3 linked regions of the Callithrix jacchus genome follow. The protein of the gene in region 1 purifies or fractionates together with the protein of each later gene. This does not show direct contact. Links are inferred from orthologs where the notes say so. Each region holds a gene or a part of one and is shown on either strand. Other genes may lie near its edges.

Region 1 (3,642 bases):
GTTTGAGATCAGCCGTTGTTTATTTCTGGGTTAGGGAGGATTGTCATGAAAAATTCCCACGTTCTTAGACCAGATCTTGAGTCTCAAACCTGACACTCCTGATATGGGTGAGTAGCATGGGAACAGCCCTGCTCCCGGCAGGGACCTGCCAGCTCAGAGGCCCTGAGAGGCTCAGGGTGCCTTCTGGGAGTAGCACTGCCCCCAGCCAGGGCTGGAGATGCTTGGGGCTCTGGCGCTTACTGCTCAGGGTCCTTTTAAAACTTGAGACCTTCAGCTGGGTGGCAGTGGCTCATGCCTGTAATCCCAGCACTTTGGGAGGCCAAGGTGGGCAGATCACTTGAGGTAAGGAGTTTGAGACCAGCCTGGCCAACATGGTGAAACCCCGTCTCTACTAAAAATACGAACATTAGCCAGGTGTGGTGGCTCATGCCTGTAATCCCAGCTACTCCAGAAGCTGATACAGGAGAATTGCTTGAACCCGGGAGGCGGAGATTGCAGTGAATGGATATTGCGATAGTACACTCCAGCCTGGTTGACAGAGTGAGAGTCTATCTCAAAAAAAAAAACAAAAAACCAAAAAACCTTGAGACCTCGATCCCGCAAATCACCCGCACTTGGGTTGTAGTCATTGGCCTGGGATGGAGTCTTTGTTTGGCTGCTGGGGAAGAACCCGGAGCTGTGGGTGCTCCACGCGCCAGCCTCCAGTGACTGGCCCCGACAAGTGGGGCTGTGCCCTCTCACATTTGGACATCATGATGGCTCAGCCAGGTTGGTCATTTGATCATTCCTGCCCACGCACAGTGACTGCGGTCTTGATGCAGTGGGCAGGAATGGAACTGAGAACTGCTGACGCTGTGCGTGGCCCGTGAGTGGCCTTTCTCCCTTGATGCTTCCCTTCTTGTCCTTGAGGGTAAATTTGAATGAAAAATCCAAGAAAAATCAAATGCCACCTTGGTTTTTACACACTCTTCTGCTGAAAAAAAACAGCCTGCTGACTTTGACAGTGAACATGGGAGAGGAGTAAGGGAGTGATGTTCCTAAGGGAGGTCAAGCCCATCTTTTTAGAATCGTCAGTCAGCAGACTTGGTAGTTTGTTTCCCAATGAACAGTGTGCTCCCTCTGTTTTTAGTGATGATAGTCATTTCATAAATCTCATCTTTGTGATCTTTAAATAAAATCAGCTTTAAATGTTTTGTGGGCTTACATTTTCCCTTTTAGCCTCTTTCTTTCTCGGGATTCAGATGTCACCTTAAAAAACAAGGAAGGGGAGACGCCCCTGCAGTGTGCGAGCCTCAACTCCCAGGTGTGGAGCGCTCTGCAGATGAGCAAGGCTCTGCAGGACTCGGCCCCCGACAGGCCCGTCCCTGTGGAGAGGACCGTGAGCAGGTGAGCCCCGGCCGGGATGGTGCTGTGGCCAATCAGCGGTCAGCAGGGCTTTGGGAGCTGCAGGGATAGCTTTTCCCCAGGCTGGAGTCTAGATCGCCAGGGCCAGGTGTTTGCCAGCCGCCCCACTGCACATGGCACCATGCCCTGGGCAGAGCGAGTCAGCCTCCAGGTGACACCAGCCCTTCCATGGCAGGGACATTGCTCGAGGCTACGAGCGCATCCCCATCCCCTGCGTCAACGCCGTGGATGGCGAGCCATGCCCCAGCAACTATAAGTACGTCTCTCAGAACTGCGTGACATCCCCCATGAACATCGACAGAAACATCACCCATCTGCAGGTGAGTGACGTGGACCCAGGGCTACTCAGGCCAGGACACGGGACAAGCAGAGACTTCCTGAGCCTGGGGTTCTGGGTTCTTCTCATCACTCAGAGCAGGAGGGCTCCTGGGAGGCTTCCCAGGAAGACCTCACTCTCTCTGTAGTTGCCTCCCATGAGAGAGCTGGAAAGCAGATGAAGGTTCTGTTGGGCACATTGCTCTTCCAAGGGTTCTCATCAACCCCAAAGCAGTGGCAAGCATCTGTGATGTTTTTGTAACCTCACACTCAGGGGCCCTGGTGCAGCCTCATGCCCTGTGCGAAGGGAGCCCTTGCGAGGCTGCAGGACCACTTGCGTCCCTGCACCTCCTGTTCGCTTGAGGGATGGGCCCAGCACATGCTAGCTTCCCCAGCCTCTGAGCACATGGAGCCTCGTGCCCTTACTGCCTGTGCCTTCTTGGGCACTTCCTTTGTGGCTCTGCTTGTAGGCAGCTCCCCCCCTCTTCCCAGGCCGGGCACTGCCCAGGGCCCTCTGCTCAGGGTGTGTAGGACTCTGCGTTCTTGCCTTTCCCGTCGAGCATCTGGCCACAGATGCAGCCGACACCCAGCCCTTCATCCACCCTGTGTCACCCGCTGCTATGTCGCTGCCCTGCCTGCCCCCATTCCTCTGTTGGGATCCTCAGCCAGAGCCCCCTCCCACGGGCATGTGTCATGTTTCTTAGCAACTCGAACATTCTCTCTGCCCTTCTCTTTAAGAGGCCACACACTCACGTGGTATCTTTGAGAAGCACTTAGCAGATTCAGGAGTAGCTTTGAGAATTGTAAAATGTAGTTGTGACCGGGAGGGAAGCAGAAGGTGGGTGCCTGCCCACATGTGTGACCGGGAGGGAAGCGGAAGGCGGGTCCTGCCCACAGCTGTGACCGGGAGGGAAGCGGAAGACGGGTGCCTGCCCATCTGACAACACCGGGTGCCTCTCTTCTCAGTACTGCGTATGCATCGATGACTGCTCCTCCAGCAACTGCATGTGCGGCCAGCTCAGCATGCGCTGCTGGTATGACAAGGTGAGGGCGGCCTCGTGTGCGTGGGCTCAGGCGGTAAGTGCCGCTGGTCCGGCTCTGCAAAAACAGTGCAGGTGTCTGTGACTCCAGTGCTGTCATGGCAGCATTGGGAAGGCGTCGGAGGTGAGCTGGGTGTGGCAGACAGGGGAGGCACAGTAGGCGACGGCACCCAAGTCAGGTCGTGAGCTGAGGACATGGCCACAGAGTCCCTTTTTGGCTGCCTGGATGGTAGCGGCGGTGGGCAGCCTGGCCTGCCCGGGTGGCGGTGCTGCTCATGTTGTGTGTGTCTGGTGAGCTCTGCCTTGTGCTTGCTGAATGTGAGGGGTGTGAACAGGGAGGGTGCGGCTGCACTGGGTGCAGCGAGCATGGGTGTGGGCGGGGAGGTTGGGGAGACACAGGCTTGGAAGTCTCTGGTGGGTGCTGGTGCTCAGAGGAGCCTGGGATGGGGGCCACTGAAGAGATGGGAGTGGAGGGTGGCCCTGGGTAGTAGGGATGTGGTTCAGGGAAGGACGTCTAAGCAGAGGCAGAGGGTTCCTGATGTCCCGAGTTCAGAGGTCAAGGTGGGAGCAGAAGCCAGCACAGCCTGGGTGAAGAGACGCGAGCGGGGAGAGGCAGCAGGTGTCCCCTCCAGAAGTGGAAGTTAGAGGAGGGGTGGCCAGGAGGGTGGAGTGTTTACCCATCTGAATGGGGGTCCCGATGGGAGAAGGATTAGTGCCACTGAGGGCTATGGGGGTGGCAGGCTCAGAAAGCTGCCAGGCTCGTGTCTGAGTGGTGTCTTTTGGGGTGGAGTCCTGCTGAGGGGGTGAAGGAATGTTTTTCCCTACATGGGAATTGAAGTTTGACCAGAAACTGTCGTGTGTATGTCAGTTTGAGCTACACTAG
Region 2 (3,642 bases), on another chromosome or scaffold:
CACGCCAGCCCCACCCCAACCAGGGCGGCCCACTGATTTGCATTTTATACGAACCTGTCTAGGCAGCCTGGGATTACTGCAATTTCAGAAAACCTCTGTTTTGCCTTAGTTTTCCAATCTGTTGGCAGACCCTGCTTTAGTGTGACTTACAACTTTCCAAGTTGACCATGTGCCTCTTTTCCATTCCATACGTGTGTGTCTTTAACACACACCCAGCCTCCCAGTGAGAAAACCGTACTAGCCAGGGCACTGTCAAAACCAAGTGGGTGCCACATGACTCCAGGTGTACACCGTGGCCGGGCATGCATGTGGACACGCCCGTGTGATGTGCTCATGTGCAGATTCCGGCACACTGGCCCACTGGCAGCTCCCCCGCCCGCACCCCAGCAATGGTTTCCGTCACGCTGATGCCTCTGCCTGAACATGAAGAGATCAGGCAGCATGCAGCCCTTGAAACCAGCTCTTCACTCGCCATCACGCTACCGAGATCCCCCCGCCTGTTGCTGAGGATGCCAAGGGAGGTGGCCAGCGTTTGCCTGGCCACTGACCTGCCAAAGGGCAGCCGGGGCGTGTCCTGGTTTGGGGCATGTCCTGGTTTGGGCCGTGATGATTACAGTTGCCAGGGAGCATGACGCGCGGTTCTGCCCGCGGACGTGCGTTCCAAGCCTCTGCGACTAAGGAGTGTGGCCACTGGGCTGCATTACAGGCGCACATCTAACTGCATGAGAAACCAGGAAGCGTTTTGCAGAGCGACCGCCGGCCGCAGCAGACGCGCGCCCATCTTTAGCACCATGTTTCCTTTGGAAATGCTTCTGCTGTCATCCCTTCCAGCCCCTCCCCTCTATTGTTCCAAAGTGTCTGTGAGGGTGGCTCCTCATCTCACCCTCCTGGCTGCTAAACCTGCCCCTCTGTTCTCCCATTCGGCTTCGGCGTGTCTCAGATCCACACCTCACCTCCTCTGAGGCACCATGCCCCGTTTTAGGGGCAGCAGCTCCTCGTCGGTGTCTGGCCCGGCCTCCTCCTGAGGGCTGTGCTGGGGTCACCATGCCGTGGTCAGCTCGGGGAGCTCTGGTGGACCCGCACTGCCTTTTCTGGCTTTTGGGCTTTATGCCTCATCTGCCATCTCCTGACTGCCTGGTTATCTCTACTGCATTTGACGGACCCTGGGCCAGACGATGATCTGTAGAAATGAACCGAGGCCCAGGCTGATGCTACGTTCCTCTGAAGGGGCTGTCCCATTTCTTCCTGCCAGGCACCTGGGGCCAGGCAGTGTGGGATCCCCTGAAATCCAGGCTCAAGTCTCCCCCGATGTTGGCAGGCTGGATGCCCACTGTACGGCATGTCAGAGTCCAGGGCACCCTCACTCCAGGTGTCACCTTACAGGCCATGGCTGTCCCAGCAGGCCCCACACCCTGCAGACCATGGCTGCTGCCAATGCCAAATGCAACCCCTCAGCCACTTCTTCGAGAACAGCCAACACCCCAGGCCAGAACGGGCAGGGCCCACCCGTTCCTACAGATTCTGGGCTTGTCTGGATTGTAGCCTGGGCAGCTGTAGCTCTGTCCTGTTAGCTCCTGAGGACCCAGCTTCTTCGTCTGTCTTCAGGGAAAAGCTGCTCTGAATCACTAACCTCTGGCTACAAGCAGAGCCAGACCGACCTGTTTCTCATCACGGAGGAGCCTGTGGATCTCCTGAGCAAACACGACTCAGGAAAGCTGCCCGAAGGCTGCCCACTGCTGGACCACAGCCAAGTCGTGGGCAATGCCAAGACCACCCATGCGCATGCAAAGACCGCTGTGCGCCCGGAGCCAGGGGAAGCAATTCACTCTGGCCCTGCAACAAAAGCAGCGTCCTGAGGACCTGCTCTCTGGGAGAAAACTGGAAATGAATCCAGAAGCTACAGGCGAAACCCCATGTCCATCTCCTAATGGGGCAGGGTGAAAGGGACAGAGGCTGCACCTGTCCCAGTGGCATCCAGACCTGCTGCGGCCCATGCTCCCATCCCTCCCAACTCCCCTCCGGCATGTGGCTCTGGCAGCCCCAGGACAGTACGTGGTGGTACCTTCTCATGGATCTCCTGCGTGGACTGTGCGTCGCAGAAGGCCACGGTGGCCACGTCCTTCAGGATAGGCATCTCCACCGTGCAGTCCCGGCCATCCAGCAGTGCCACCAGGGGCCGCGGGTGCAGGGGCCCGTTCATGATTGGAGGTCGGACGCCTGCAAGACAGAAGCAAGTGCTCAGCCTTGCACCACCGCAGCCCGTAGCCACAACCTGCTCCACACTGCCCACTGTGCACCGGCCGATGAGGGCTTTCCATTCTACATGTTGTGATATTTGTAAAAAGTGAATTAAAAATCCATAGGAAAGACAGATTTGTGTGCCTCAGCTCGCTGACACGAGTGGACACAGACTACAGACACCCACCACCATTGCCCTCAGGCACAGGGGCTCCCAGACCCCCTGAGACCCTCCCAGACCTGTCTGAGATTCCCCAAGACTCCCCCATACCCTCCGAGATCCCGAGACCCCAGGGCAGCTCCATGAGGCGGAGGGACAGGAGGGACCCGTGACACTGGAGGGCACAGATCGCAGCACAGGGCTTTAGGAACATGGCTGCCCTTTTCCGCCTGGGCTACCGTGTGGCTGCTGGAATCCCCGATGGGTCACCAATATTTCACACAGAACGCCCCACCCTCTGCCTGGCATCACTTCCATTTGTAAATTTGAAGGGACAAGAAACAGAGCTATAGAGGAAAGTCCACTGTTAAAGTCCACTGTGCCCCTACCTTCCCAGAATGAGCTGATTAAAAACCACTAACACCCATTATTCCTTTCACGTATGACACAGCTAAGCTTCGTTCGGGGCCACATGGAGAAAGAGGGGCTCTGAGGTGTCACAGAAGCACAGCAGCTTCCAGGCACCACCCGGCCACCCTGTGCCAGGCAGGGAGCACCGGGTGCTGGGAAAAGGCAGAGCTGGAGCCAGGGTCTGGCCGGTCCACCCCCCAGACTGGCCCCAGGAGACCAAGGAGCCCCCAGGACCATTTGGCCAGCAGGAGGGGAGACACAGGACAGAACCAAGAAACGGAGTGACCCAGTAAAGTCCTCAGTGGCTGCAGCCACATGCACGCTCAGCCGTCTCCCACCCCATCTACCAGCAGGTAAGCAGAGGCCACCAAGCCGCCAGGGCCCAGAATGCACTGCAAACACGGCTCTTGGAGCCCACGGCAGAGAAAAGAGACACCCTGGTGGACAGCCCAAGGGTGCAATGGGCCTGCAGCAGGTGCCTGCAGGGGACAGGGCACAGGTCTCCACTGACCACCCCAAAGCCGAGGGCTCCCGGTACGGCTGGGCCCAGGCTCCTCCTTCTAAGTCCTCACGCCCCAGTGACCTCAGAGGAGCCACTGGCCATTCCACCCACTTGCCTTCAAGACAGGAAAGGTGCCAGGACCTGCCCAGACCCCAAACACGGGGTGTGCACGATCAAAACCACATCCTGGTTTGCCTGTTCCCTCATTCCATCTGGACAGGAGCTGCCCATGACCCCCCTCCTGCAGCTCCCCAGTGACACTCCACACGTCCCCCTCCTGCAGCCCCCAGCGACACTCCACATGTCCCCCTCCTGCAGCCCCCCAGTGACA
Region 3 (4,239 bases), on another chromosome or scaffold:
TAAATGCACATTAATTTGGCTAACACAGAGTTCTGAGAATGGATCTCAACGCCCCCCCATGCATCAACAATCTGAACAGCCTACTATGTGGCAGGCACTGATGAACAAGAGGTATGGCCCATTTTATGGGAGTCCATAAACTAGCAATTAGCCTTCTACTCCAAAAACTCTTTATGGAAAGAACCTATGAAGTGAAAATCTACCAAATCTAATGGAAAATCTCTTATACCACCGCAGATAGGATATTTTTTTGTTTGTTTGTTTTGAGACGGAGTTTCGCTCTTGTTACCCAGACTGGAGTGCAATGGCGCGATCTCGGCTCACCGCAACCTCTGCCTCCTGGGTTCAGGCAATTCTCCTGCCTCAGCCTCCTGAGTAGCTGGGATTACAGGGACGCGTCACCATGCCCAGCTAATTTTTTGTATTTTTAGTAGAGACGGGGTTTCACCATGTTGACCAGGATGATCTCGATCTCTTGACCTCGTGATCCACCCGCCTCAGCCTCCCAAAGTGCTGGGATTACAGGCTTGAGCCACCGTGCCCAGCCAGGATATTTTTTAAAAAGGGAGGTTTTGCTAGATAAACCACTAGAGTATGCCAAAATTTAAGGAATTCTTTTCAAATGGTGTGAACAACAAAAAGAAACATTTTCCTAGTCCTTAAAATGGGCACAAGAGTGATTGCTTCTTTTCTTTGGAGATATGGTTTATAAAATGCAGAAGACTAGGGTACCTTACTTGGTCTCCTTTAATATGGAAGCTATAAGCACTAGGCTTCTATTTACATTCAAAACTATTTCTTTTTTTTTTTTTTGAGACAGTCTCCCTCTGTTGCCAGGCTGGAGTGCAGTGGTGCCATCTCATCTCACTGTAACCTCTGCCTCAGGTTCGAGCTATTTTCCTGCCTCCGCCACCCGAAGAACTGAGACTACAGGTGTGTGCACACTACACCTGGCTAATTTTGGTATTGTTAGTCGACACGGGGTTTCACCATGTTGGCCAGGGTGGTCTCAAACTCCTGACATCAGGTGATCTGCCCACCTCAGCCTCTCAAAGTACTGGGATGACAGGCGTGAGCCACCATCCCCGGCCCCATTATTTACATTTTTAGTGAAAAATAATTTAGAATAACAGCAGCCATTGAAGAAAAATATTACCACAGGGAAAATCGTAAATGACTTCAGGTCCTCCGCTGCCCTGAAGCTTCATTAAGGTGCAACTGGTTTCAATACAAGGGATTTTCAATCTCACCACTTTCCTATAAAAGTCTGTAAGGCACCTAAGGAGGAACACCGGCATTAATTTCCCCATTGTATTCCTGAATCTATTCCAAAGCCTTGGACCTTTCACAATTTTTCCAAACTGCTGGTGTGATTCTTAACACAACTGAGAAGGCTACTTTACCCTAGGCTAGAGGTTCTAGTATAACAGATTATAGCTATCTTTTTGTAAATTCCACCTCAACTGACTTAAACCAACACAAGTCTAAATGTAACATCAATTCACGAAAAACCCTCATCTAAATAGTTGGAAAAGAGGTAAAATACTGCTCACTCTGTATTCAAAGTTTCCAAAAAGGAAAACCTGGCTAAAAAACAGAAGGGCCCACTAAACAAGTATTATCTCACAATCTCACATACTTGCTCTTCCTGTCTCCCAATTTCTCCTACCTTACACGATGTCATCACTACCTCACTCCATTCCTTAACTGTTAACTCACCTACGCATTTTACAATTTTATCACCTTTGTGAGACCAGTAACGATCCCAGACAAAAACTTATGGAACTAACTTTGAATCAAAGCAAGAGCTGCACTTGGACTTAACTCCCCAAAGGAATCATGGAGCAAAGGCAGTAGGAAACCTGGAAAAGTGAAGAAAGCGTATTCAATCCTTTCTTCACGTATTATTTTACAGCCTCCCCACTGAAAGGACCCATCAGGAAGCAAGGGCGGCCTGCTTTCCCCTTTTCCCTTACACACCTTACAGAAATATTCTCCGGATCTCCGCCCTACATATCCTAACAGCTCCTCCCCCTCCAGAGCCAGGCCCAGCAAACGCTTGCCCCTCCCCCTCCGTGCCCCCCTTCCCAATTTATTCCATCTCCTCCACCAATCGGCACACTTTGTGCGGCCCAGGGCCCTCTTTCCAATTAACTCCAAGTTACTCTTCCGTAGTCCTGCAAAGCCAGGTTTCTCTGGCAGCCCCGGCGGGACCCGGCGTCCTCCGATTACAGTTACAAACCTCGGGTCTCGCGGTCGTCAGCTCCTCCCCACACCTATCCAAGCCTCAAGCCTGTCCCCTTCCCAATCTTGTAAGGTGTTTTCTCTCCAGCCCTATCCCCAGACGCCCACCCAACCCAAGCAGCATTGTCCCGGACTACGCGGGCCCGGAAAAGCGGTCCCCAACTGCTCGGCCCACCCTGAAGAGCTTCAGTCTCTGGCTCAGGATTCGCGCCCCGCCCTCCCCATCCTTCTCGCAGCTGGCAACGACGCCTCAGCGCCAGGCGGAGAGCTCAGCGCGGGAAGTGGAAAAACAGGACGCTGGACCCGGGCGCGCTCCCCGCTCCCCGCCCCCAACCTCTGCCTCGAAAGCGCGGGCCCCCACGCAGGGCTCCCGCCGCCGCCGCCACCGTGCCCCCTCCCCCAGCTCTCCCGCCTCCAGCGGGCTCCTCACCTCAGAGCAGCGCCTAACAGCCGGAGAGGAATCGGTGCTGCGCTGCTGGCGCGTCGTGTCGGGTCGGCCGGGGGAGTGGCGCCCAGGAAGGCAGCAAGCCCGGTGGCCGCAATGGAGCACCTCACTGGAGCGGCGTACCGCAGGCCCAGGCCAAGGGCCCTCCCCTCAACCGAACAAAAGAGCCTCGCACTCTGCTCTGCCCGCCGCCCGCACCGCGCAGGCGCGGCGACCCGCCGCATGGCACCCTGGTCCGCGGGATCAGTCCAAGACTACAGGGCCCGAAGTGCCGCGCGCTGCGCACGCACAGTAGGCGAGGGTGGTAGGGACTTCGAGGTTTTAAACTGTAACGGCGGAGCGACTGCAGCGTTGAGCGTTGTAACCTAGAAAATTAGAACATAATTTTTTTTTTTTTGAGACGGAGTCTCGCTCTGTCCCCAGGCTGGAGTGCAGCGGCGCGATCTTGGCTCACTGCAACCTCCGCCTCCCAGGTTCAAGCAATTCTCCTGCCTCAGCTTCCCGAGTAGCTGGGACTACAGGCGCGCGCCACCACACCTAGCTAATTTTTGTATTTTTTAGTGGAGACGGGGTTTCACCATGTTGGCCAGGATGGTCTCGATCTCTTGACCTCGTGAGCCGCCCGCCTCGGCCTTCCAAAGTGCTGGGATTACAGGCATGAGCCACTGCACCCGACCAGGACATGTGATTTTTATAAATGAGCCCTTTGATGCTTGGCCCAAAAAATCAACCACTTCTGGACAGTTAGGTAATTCACATCCTTGAATTTTTTAATCTTATGTTCTTAACCAGAACTTTATTATATCTCCGCCTCCTCAAATTTCCAACCGTTTCTGTAGTCCTCAATCTCCGCCTCCTCAAATCTCTGCAAAACTCCTCTTAAGGCGGAGTGCGGGGGCTCAAGCCTATAATCCCAACATTTTGGGAGGCCGAGGTGTGTGGATCACCTGAGGTCAGGCGTTCAAGACCAGCCTCGCCAACATGGTGAAACCCCGTCTCCACTAAAAGTACAAAAATTAGCTGGGCATGGTGGTGCCACCTGTAATCCCAGCTACTTGGGAGGCTGAGGCAGGAGAATTGCTTGAACCCAGGAGGCGGAGGTGGCAGTGAGCTGAGATCGCACCATTGCACTCCAGCCTGGGCAACAAACAAAACTCCATCTAAAAAAAAAAACCTACTCAGTGTTAAGATTAATTCCCCTGGCTGGGTGCAGTGGCTCACGCCTGTAATCCCAGCACTTTGGGAGGACAACGTTGGTGGATCACCAGACCAGGAGTTCAGCCTGACCAAGATGGTGAAATCCTGTCTCTACTAAAAATACAAAAATTAGCTGGGCATGGTGGTGGGTGCCTGTAATCCCAGCTACTTGGTTGGCTGAGGCAGAGAATTGCTTGAACCCGGGAGGTGGAGGTTGCAGTGAACCGAGATCATGCCATTGCCCTCCAGCCTGGGTGGCAGAGTGACACTTTGTCTCAAAAAAAAAAAAAGAAAAAAGATTAATTCCCCTTTGAGGCCTTCCCTGATTCCCTAGAGTCCCCCATAGGTGTCTC

Evidence for each region.
Region 2: the proteins of EHMT1 (region 1) and CTBP1 purify together in Homo sapiens (affinity purification with mass spectrometry; 3 studies listed by BioGRID and IntAct, counting the BioPlex papers as one, with this or other methods). This does not show direct contact. The link is inferred for Callithrix jacchus from reciprocal best matches to the Homo sapiens genes EHMT1 and CTBP1.
Region 3: the proteins of EHMT1 (region 1) and CBX1 purify together in Homo sapiens (affinity purification with mass spectrometry; 3 studies listed by BioGRID and IntAct, with this or other methods). This does not show direct contact. The link is inferred for Callithrix jacchus from reciprocal best matches to the Homo sapiens genes EHMT1 and CBX1.

What each region holds. Positions count from the first base shown.
Region 1 is NC_133502.1:186,169,906-186,173,547, forward strand, and holds part of EHMT1 (histone-lysine N-methyltransferase EHMT1), read left to right. Parts: intron 1-1,218; coding exon 1,219-1,386; intron 1,387-1,579; coding exon 1,580-1,724; intron 1,725-2,685; coding exon 2,686-2,763; intron 2,764-3,642. UniProt on the Homo sapiens protein: Histone methyltransferase that specifically mono- and dimethylates 'Lys-9' of histone H3 (H3K9me1 and H3K9me2, respectively) in euchromatin.
Region 2 is NC_133504.1:191,935,008-191,938,649, reverse strand, and holds part of CTBP1 (C-terminal-binding protein 1), read right to left. Parts: intron 2,218-3,642; coding exon 2,063-2,217; intron 1-2,062. UniProt on the Homo sapiens protein: Corepressor targeting diverse transcription regulators such as GLIS2 or BCL6. Has dehydrogenase activity. Involved in controlling the equilibrium between tubular and stacked structures in the Golgi complex.
Region 3 is NC_133506.1:118,186,810-118,191,048, reverse strand, and holds the start of CBX1 (chromobox protein homolog 1), read right to left. Parts: upstream 2,886-4,239; 5' UTR 2,675-2,885; intron 1-2,674. UniProt on the Homo sapiens protein: Component of heterochromatin. Recognizes and binds histone H3 tails methylated at 'Lys-9', leading to epigenetic repression. Interaction with lamin B receptor (LBR) can contribute to the association of the heterochromatin with the inner nuclear membrane.